2 linked regions of the Caenorhabditis elegans genome follow. The protein of the gene in region 2 purifies or fractionates together with the protein of the main gene of each other region. This does not show direct contact. Each region holds a gene or a part of one and is shown on either strand. Other genes may lie near its edges. The genes, in order: pqn-15 and pfd-5.

Region 1 (5,110 bases), on a different chromosome or scaffold from region 2:
CTGATTTTGCCCCTGGTTGTTCGGTGGTCCATGCTGTTGTTGAAAACCTTCCTCTTGATGACCTCCCTGATGAACTTGTTGCATTGGTTGCCCTTGTTGGTTTGGCATTTTTTGCTGGTTTTGTTGTCTCTGCTGAGGAACAAGTTTGTACTGCATTCCATTAATAATCGCGTGCTCTCCATTGATTCTAATGGTTTGATCATTGTCCGGCTCAAAATTATCTGTAACCACCGGCTGCATCATCTGGCTTTGCATTGGCGGAGTCTGATGGTGCTGCAGATGTAAATTTGGCTGAGGTGATTCTTGCAGCGGCTGTTGGGACATTGGATCTTGTTGCATTTGTTGCATATTCATCATTTGATCAGGAATATTCTGAGGATTGTGAGGCCCTTGTTGCATGGATCTGTTTTGCTGCATTTGATGTTGTGGCTGCCGCTTTATGTTCGGGTGAATTTGCCTTCCCGGTTGCTGCATTTGAGGCATTTGTCTATCAGACTGCGGGTTACCCTGCATAGGTGGCTGATTTTGATGATGCTGCTGCTGCTGCTGTGGTGGTGCAAGATTCATTCTCATTTGTGGATTCTGCGGCGAGTTCTGCATGGATCCATGAATCGATTGGGATTGTTGCGGCGTCATTTGGCGTGGAGGTATCTGCATGTTCTGCGGCTGTTGTGCAACCTGGAATAACTATTTTCAACAGTTAAGTACTATTTGAGCATCAATTTGGTTACCTGGGCGACACGGACTGGCTGCTGTTGCTGCTGTTGGTGCGGCGGTGGTGGTCCATTCGTTTGTCCTTGCAGCATCTGAAATGAGTATGTCATGGTCATGCGTAAAATAGCGTTTTATGAAGAAGAGAATTTCCGCGAGAGTGGCAGGAAATAGTGTGCATATAACTATGGTGAGCTCATAAATATTCAGTTTTTCTGGTCTCCCAGTTTATTTTCTGGACTTGGTGATGATATGGAGAAAAATATCTTGAGTTTCTACTTCTTCAACAACTTTCGTTTTACTTGAACTTTTGGAAAAAAACATTTATAGTAACAATTCGAAACTATTTTGAAAGGTGAGCAAAAGGGGTTGTCAATTCATATGTACGACTTCCCTTTTGCGTTTTTTGTTGTGTGTTTTTTGAAGGGCTACGTTTTTTTTTTCAAAAATCGCTAATTACAACATACTGTATGTTTATTGCTATTATAATTGTATTTTTCAATCAATTTCTATGTATTTGTGACAAAATTGCCGTCTCCAATAGTTTTTTTTTTCAATTACCTGTGGTTCTTGCTGTTGAATCCGAATTTGCTGTTGTGGTGGCATGTTCATGTTCGGAGCATTTTGCTGCATTTGCTGATGCTGAAGAGGCTGCTGCTGATGAGGTGATCCGTTGTTCATATTTTGATTGTTTTGTTGAATTTGTTGCATTCTCATTTGCTGCTGCGGCGGCGTGTTCATACTCGATGGGCCTTGTTGTATCTGCAAAATGGGTTAAAGTTAGTTTTGAAGATCCATTTAAAGAGTATTACATAATGAGGCTGTGATGGAGGTCGGCTCATCATCCCGCCCTGCGGCTGCACCTGAAATTTTTTGCACTTAAATTTTTGAATGCGAAATTAGATTTAATTTGAAGAAAACAAAATAACATACGCCCATTTGTGAAGAAGGCCTATTCATCAGCTGAGGTCCGCCTTGTTGGTGCATCTAAAATTTATGAATTTAGGGCACATAATTAATTAAAAGCTCACCTGTTGCGAAGGTGGTCGGTTCATGCTCATCGGTCCACCACCTTGTTGCATCTGAAAAAAATTAAGTTGGCTTATGGTATATTATAACTCTCCATTGAGAACAATTTTTTTCAATAATGGTGTCTTAAAGCACACGTACCAATCCGGGAATTGACCGCAAATTTTTGAAAAAAATAGGAACTTCATAACTAAGTTAAGAAATTTTTGAACAAACTTTTGCGTATCGTAACTTTCATGTAACTGGTTGTTTTTTAATTTATTTTATGTTACATTTATTAAATACAATTTATCTCAAGTCTCATTTGTTTTTTGACAATTTTCACTGACCTGATGAGGTTGAGACGGCGGTCTGTTGATACTCTGTGGTCCACCTTGTTGCATCTGAAACTGTTCAAGCATTGTAAGCTTTTAATTGAAAGTTTCGCAAACCTGATGAGGATGAGATGGTGGTCCGTTCATGTTTTGTTGCTGTTGCATCTAAAAATTAAGAAAATAAATGTTTCGAATCAATTTCTCATTAATTTCATTTTGACTCTGATCTACAAGCGTACATGCCATTTTTCTCGTACTTTCAAGCTGAAAGTTTGGTAATTTTTTTTTTAAGCGTCCTATAAATTTTTATATTTTTGTGCTAATTTGTGACTCTGTATAATAGAGTATAATTTTTTCAGACTGTTTTTTTTAAAACAAATACTGACCTGCATTTGCTGTGGAGACACCTGCGGTATTCTCTGCTGCATTTGATTTTGTGCCTGTGGTATCCTCATTTGTTGCTGCGGATTCGGAAGATTTTGCTGCATATTCATATTGTTCGGAGCTCTCTGATGTTGTGACTGAGGAGAATTCATATTCGGTTGCTGTGGCTGCTGCTGCTGCATTCTCATTTGTGACATCTGAGGTGGTGGCTGCTGTGACTGTTGCATTGGCGGGCCTTGTTGGGGCATACCACGCATCTGCTGCGGAGGGTTCCCCCTCATCTGAATTTGTGATTGCTGAGGATTTTGCATCATTTGGGGAGCTTGATTTTGTGGAGGACGCATTTGCTGGCCCATGTTCATCATAAGATTCTGTGCAGGTTGCTGTTGCATTTGTTGAGGGCCTTGTTGTCCCTGCATGTTCACCATTTGTGATTGTCCTTGTGGAATTTTATTTTGTTGCATGGGTGGTCCACCTTGCTGTATGACCCGATGTGGACCAGGCGGCTGAATTTGGTGTGGTCGCTGCACATTGAGTAATTGTGGAGCAGCTTGATTGTGCTGCTGGTTGAGCATGACAACCTGGAAAAAATTTGGTTTTCTAAAGTTGTAAAGGGAGAAGTTAATTCGACAGATGGTACGGTACACAGATGGTACGGTGTAATAGACAAAAACCAGAATTTTTTTTAAAAATTTTGTAGAATTTATCGTATGTATTGTTTTCTTAAAAAATGGTTTGCTATGATTAAAATTGCTCTCAAATCTCATATTTCCGTCAAACTACTATAAAAATTAATATGAGCAAAAAAAAACTTTTTGTTTTTTGTTTTTTGATTTTTGGAATATGGCTACTACAAGCGCATTCACTAGAACTGTCTCTCACCTTACCTCCTCAACTGTTTTTGAGCGATCAATAGAATTGTGTGCGTGCGAGGTCGCCGAAAACCTAATTGCCGCGCAAATGCCCTTTCTCTTCACTAAACCGATATCTTGTAAGATATTAAGAAATAATTTTTTATTTGTTTTTTTTTTTCAAGTTTTGAAAAGTTGCAAATTATGAGAAAATAAAAATACTTACCCGAAAATTGAAGCGAAGGACGTCAAGATTACGTCCGGTAAATTGTAGCCTCACACGAAGAACACGATTGCCGACGGCCACCCACACGTGTGAAACGCGGAGCAAGTCCTCGTTTAACTGCAATTATTTAATAATTAATGAAAAATCGATTAAATGCTGCAAGAAGAAAGACAATGCGGAATTAAGAGGGAGACGCGCGCAGTTCAACTTGCACTAGACAAGTTGATTGACTGACGGGCTGGGTGGCCTCCCACCCTAAGGCCCCCACGTACGCAAACACCATCACGTCAAATTACACAGTGAGAAAACGGGATTCGTCAGGTTTATTAGTGTTTATACCATGAAAAGTAGCAACAAAAAACAGAAGTTGGAAAAATTGATAAAAAATCAATGAAGAAAACGGGACAACTTGAATTCGAACATATCATCAACTATTTCAACATTTTTGCTAAACTCTGTCTTCTGTTTTTTCCACGTCCAATTGTCTCTTTTGGAACAGAGCAGGACCTGCAAAAATCAATAGGGTCCAGTGAGAAGATGAGTGACTCAAGGGAAATGAATTTGTTTTCAATGTTTTTCGCTATTTTTTTTCCTATTTCTTGGCTAAATATAAAAAAGTGTTGAAAGTGTGAGTGGATGATTTATGACAAATGTCATACGCCTTGCCAACAAAGGAATGTTAACACATAGTGTGTATGTTTTATTTGCCTTTGCTTGTAATGCCATGTGCTTACATTTTTGTTTTTAAAGTATTCCAAATAGAAACAAGAGTTAAACTCGTTGGAAAATAGTTCAAAGATTTCTTTTTCTGATTTAATATTATCTTGAGTCACAAACACGTTCACTGCAAGAATTCCTGAAAAAAAAGCTTGGCTTTAAAATTTCAAAATACTGCTTACAAACCATTTAAGGTTAAACGTTTTTTCAAAAGTTGAACTGTTTTTATTTTCAGCGTCTCTGAGACTGGGCACATCACATTTGTCTTTTTGTTTTCACAGGCATCGACAATAATAACGTCATATTTTTTGTCATCTGAAATTACATTTTTTACTTTCAAATAAATTCTTTAAGTTTTCCGATTACATTTTCGTAAGTAATCCACAAAATCGGTGTTTATAATTCTCATCTCGTCCGTTTCAAAGTGATCGAAATAATTCTCCGCGATGTTGATTATAAACTCTTCTTTTTCAACAACAGTTGTATCAATCTGAAGTATGTAGTAAAAAGTTATATGTAAAACCGAAAATCTACCAACATTGAGGTAGGATATTTGAGAAAAGAAGTTGCTCATCACTCCACCACCAAGTCCGGCAATTAGAACATCTTGGTGATCGGATTCGTCGAAATTCAGGCTCTGAAATTTTTTCGAGGAATACATAAAGAAAAACTAAACAGAAAAAGAAATAACACTGCAAAAACAAAATAAATTAACACAAAATGTCTTTAAAGCCAGAGAAAAAAAACAAAATAAGTTAATAAGAAAAAAAAGGCAATCTGTTTTAAATATGAATTTAAGGATACTTGTGTATTGTAAGCCCGTAACTAAAATATAAATTAAAACTCCACTTATCATGCTTTTAAATTAAACGTGATAT
Region 2 (3,354 bases):
AAGTGACATTTGGTCGTCTAAAATGCTGAAGAGCTGTGATAGCAGCGAGACAAGCACAATCAAGAAGACTTCCATCTTCGTCAAGAATTCGGACATCTACTCGAATTTTCCAAATTTCTTTTCCAGCGCGAATGCAGAGAGCCTGGAATTTATTTTTGTAATTTAAGTTCTCTACAGCTCAATTCACCTCAACATCAATACACCGAGAATCACGAATAATAAGCTCCAATAGACGAATCAGTTCCATTCCTTTGCTCCCGAGACGGTCATGCTCATTGGCTAAAAAAAGGATAATTGTTAATCAAAAATAGGAATCTAACCATAATTAGCCATTGGACTCAAATCAACGTCAATATTAATAACTCCTTTGTGTGGTCTCATTGACGATGGTTCAGCGATTTCGGCACTTACTGCAGCCATTACTCTGAAAATTCAAAATTTATGACTATAAATAATAAGGAAAAACTAACGAACTTTGTATTTCCAATAGTGCAAATTGCAGTTCCAACTTCTGCTCCGACCACTAACTTCACATCCCGAAATTCTTCCAGACTACGAAAATCAAATCTCTGAAAAAAAAATTAAAAATAAATCCAATGAAACCAGTTTACTTTTCCAATTTTCAGCGCCTCTAATATCACAGCCTTCTCGCAGTTTGTCACCGGTTGAACTCTCATTACTTCTGAAGTTAGATTTTAAAGTAATTATTTTTTCGAACTGTAAGTACTCAAGGCGTTTGAACGCGAACCACTAGCTAGAATACAAAAAAGAAGCAAGAAACATATTATTTTGAACAAGAATCAATGCAAGGTGTAGTATTAAAATCGAAAATTGATAACAACAATTTGAATATCGGAAAAGCAAGAGATTTTCAGAAGTAGATTTCTCGGCAGACATTTATTGTGTATTCATCGTGGCGAGTTGAGACTGAACCTTGGTCTGGAATGCGTCCGAAATATAGGCCCGAGTTCTTCGCTTCTCTTTCAGAATTCCCTCAACTGTCTCAACCTGATATAAATAAGATTAAATACTCAAGTAAGACACTTTCGATGTTCGTACCTGCTTTGTAATATGTTCCTTTTTACGGTCAAAAATTGCTTTGGCTTTCTCGCGGTCCAGCTCCACGAAGTATCCAGTTCCGATCTCCACCAAATGCTTTGATGGATCAGATAGTTCAGCACGGATGTAGAGCTGAATAATCATTAATTATTAAAAAAGTACAATGAAAATATACCGATTCAGAAAGTGGAATGAGAGCTGTATGTCCTGCAGTTGCAATTTTCACATCGTCCAAAGCAGAAATACTTTTTTCGTTCCGCGTTAAAAGACCCTGCAAATATTTTTATTAATTTGAAAAACAAATACGAAATTCAACAAACTTTAAGAGCATTGAAAGACTCCTGGAAGAAGTTTAATTCTTGTTCGCAATTCTTCTGGAGTTCTCCGAGTTGTTGCAAGCTGAGCTCTGACAGCGGTACTCCTTTCGGTTCTTCTGCCATTCTAAAATTATTTATAATTATTAAAGAAGAATATTTATAACAATCTTTATTGAAATTATGATCTAAAAATGGATAAAAGGATAATGAAAAAATAAGCATTAAAAATCGGTGAAATTTTCTCGAATTGAACCATTGGCCTAGAAAATTCAAATGTGCGCGGCCACGGCCACTGTTGGCGGTAATTCAAAAATAATATTTTAAGGAAGGACGAAAAGTAGATTTTTGCTCTATTCATCAAAATATATTGAAGGTGTTTTTTTTTTAGAAAAATTAATTGAATAATATTTTATGGAGATTCCAACCAATTAATACCGATTTTGTAACTTTTATTTGAAGACATTTAGCTCCAACACCAGACTTTTCTCCTTTGTTTCCCTGCAATGTTGTGTATCTTCTTGAGGGTATTCCCCGATTTCGCCTTCACTTTTTTATTTGTTGAATCATAAAAAAATTCCGGTGTATAATAAATTAGACTGGGATACTTTGAACTATTAGTTCGAAAATCAAACATCATTTGCAGTTTGGAACTTCTTGGCGGATCTGTTTCATTTGAAAAAGGCATAACTGAAATACAACATTTTTTGGAAAGGTAAAGCTACTACAACCCCTAGAATTCTATAAACTCACAAAGATCCCTTCATAAAATTGTTTCCTTTTTATAGACGAATCTTCTCGAAGTGGAAAAGTTGTTTTGAACCTTCAAAGATATCACTTTCATCTCCTTATCATTCAATTTCCTTTTCTCTAATCTCTCTAATTTTTCCAATTATGTCTCAAAATGATAACGTGAAAGAGACTTTCAAAAGTCATCTTCTTTCTATTCTTTAAAGATTTTCTAACACCAGTTCTCATATCAAATTCTCTATTTTTAGAGACTTATCAATCAATTAGATAAAGATAGAAATGACGTTGATCACATCTCTAAAGGTTATAAGCTCCGCCTATTGTTTTTAAGAAAAGTACAGAGATTTTCATGTGATATTTGACATATAAAACTGTAAATATGTATACATGAATCCACGTGAAAGTCTTTAGAAACATTTCCTTGTTTCAAAAATGATCTTTGAATCTGACCGTACTTCTTGTACTTTTTGAATTTGATCTATAAGTTACCGTAATCAAGATAGGATTTGATAGACCGGAAGTTGCTTCAAAAAGAAGACTTTGATTTATATTTATTTGTTTCTTTTAAAATTCATTCTCTGATCTTTTGTATTCGCTAGAACTCCGTCCAGATCTGAACTTTGCAAACCCTTACTAGGTAATTGCTCTTGTACTTGTCCTTACCAAAATTGCACTCTCATGTGTGACGTCACAACTTTTCCAACTGTAGTTTCATGAAATTAAATCCCTCACGTTCGTTTTTTTAACTTTTCACAAAAAGCAATCCCTGTTTACTATTGTATTCAGTCATCACACCTCTTATTAATATGTCTATATTATGATAACAATACCAATTTTTTGTTTTTCCGTCTGGAACAGGTTGCTACACTTATTTTGAAAAGTGACGAATGATCTGATCAGTGAGGTTGGATTACGGTATCAATGACCATTATGTTGAGAACTTTCGGTCTCTTCTGCTAACAAAAAGTGGCCTAAAAGATTGAATATGGCCTCCAAAGGTGTCATTGTTTTATTGATACAGTTATCAATTAATCTTTAGTATCAGAAGTTACTGTAGTTTTATCAGAAGTTTCAGTTTTTCCTGACCTAAAGTGACAGATGTTCTGATCCCTATTGTTCTCAGCTGACTGATTGTTTTGTAGAAATAATTGTTATGTTTCTCAAGATGATCAATATGCAACGTCAACAAAAATATGTGAGAATTATGTTTTAATTTGGATCTTAGAATGTT

The links.
Region 1: the proteins of pfd-5 (region 2) and pqn-15 fractionate together in Caenorhabditis elegans (co-fractionation; one large-scale study listed by BioGRID). This does not show direct contact.

What each region holds. Positions count from the first base shown.
Region 1 is NC_003284.9:4,303,949-4,309,058, forward strand, and holds the start of pqn-15 (Prion-like-(Q/N-rich)-domain-bearing protein), read right to left. Parts: upstream 3,014-5,110; coding exon 2,441-3,013; intron 2,220-2,440; coding exon 2,172-2,219; intron 2,124-2,171; coding exon 2,070-2,123; intron 1,794-2,069; coding exon 1,743-1,793; intron 1,699-1,742; coding exon 1,645-1,698; intron 1,575-1,644; coding exon 1,524-1,574; intron 1,474-1,523; coding exon 1,273-1,473; intron 807-1,272; coding exon 732-806; intron 679-731; coding exon 1-678. Other genes in the region: C52B9.8 (Methyltransferase-like protein 13), read right to left, coding at 3,903-4,022, 4,250-4,371, 4,419-4,547, 4,599-4,722, 4,771-4,869.
Region 2 is NC_003281.10:7,197,385-7,200,738, forward strand, and holds pfd-5 (putative prefoldin subunit 5), read right to left. Parts: upstream 1,501-3,354; 5' UTR 1,500-1,500; coding exon 1,380-1,499; intron 1,331-1,379; coding exon 1,235-1,330; intron 1,192-1,234; coding exon 1,060-1,191; intron 1,009-1,059; coding exon 898-1,008; 3' UTR 767-897; downstream 1-766. Other genes in the region: exos-9 (Exosome complex component RRP45), read right to left, coding at 1-142, 188-279, 321-424, 475-569, 612-677. UniProt on the Caenorhabditis elegans protein: Binds specifically to cytosolic chaperonin (c-CPN) and transfers target proteins to it. Binds to nascent polypeptide chain and promotes folding in an environment in which there are many competing pathways for nonnative proteins.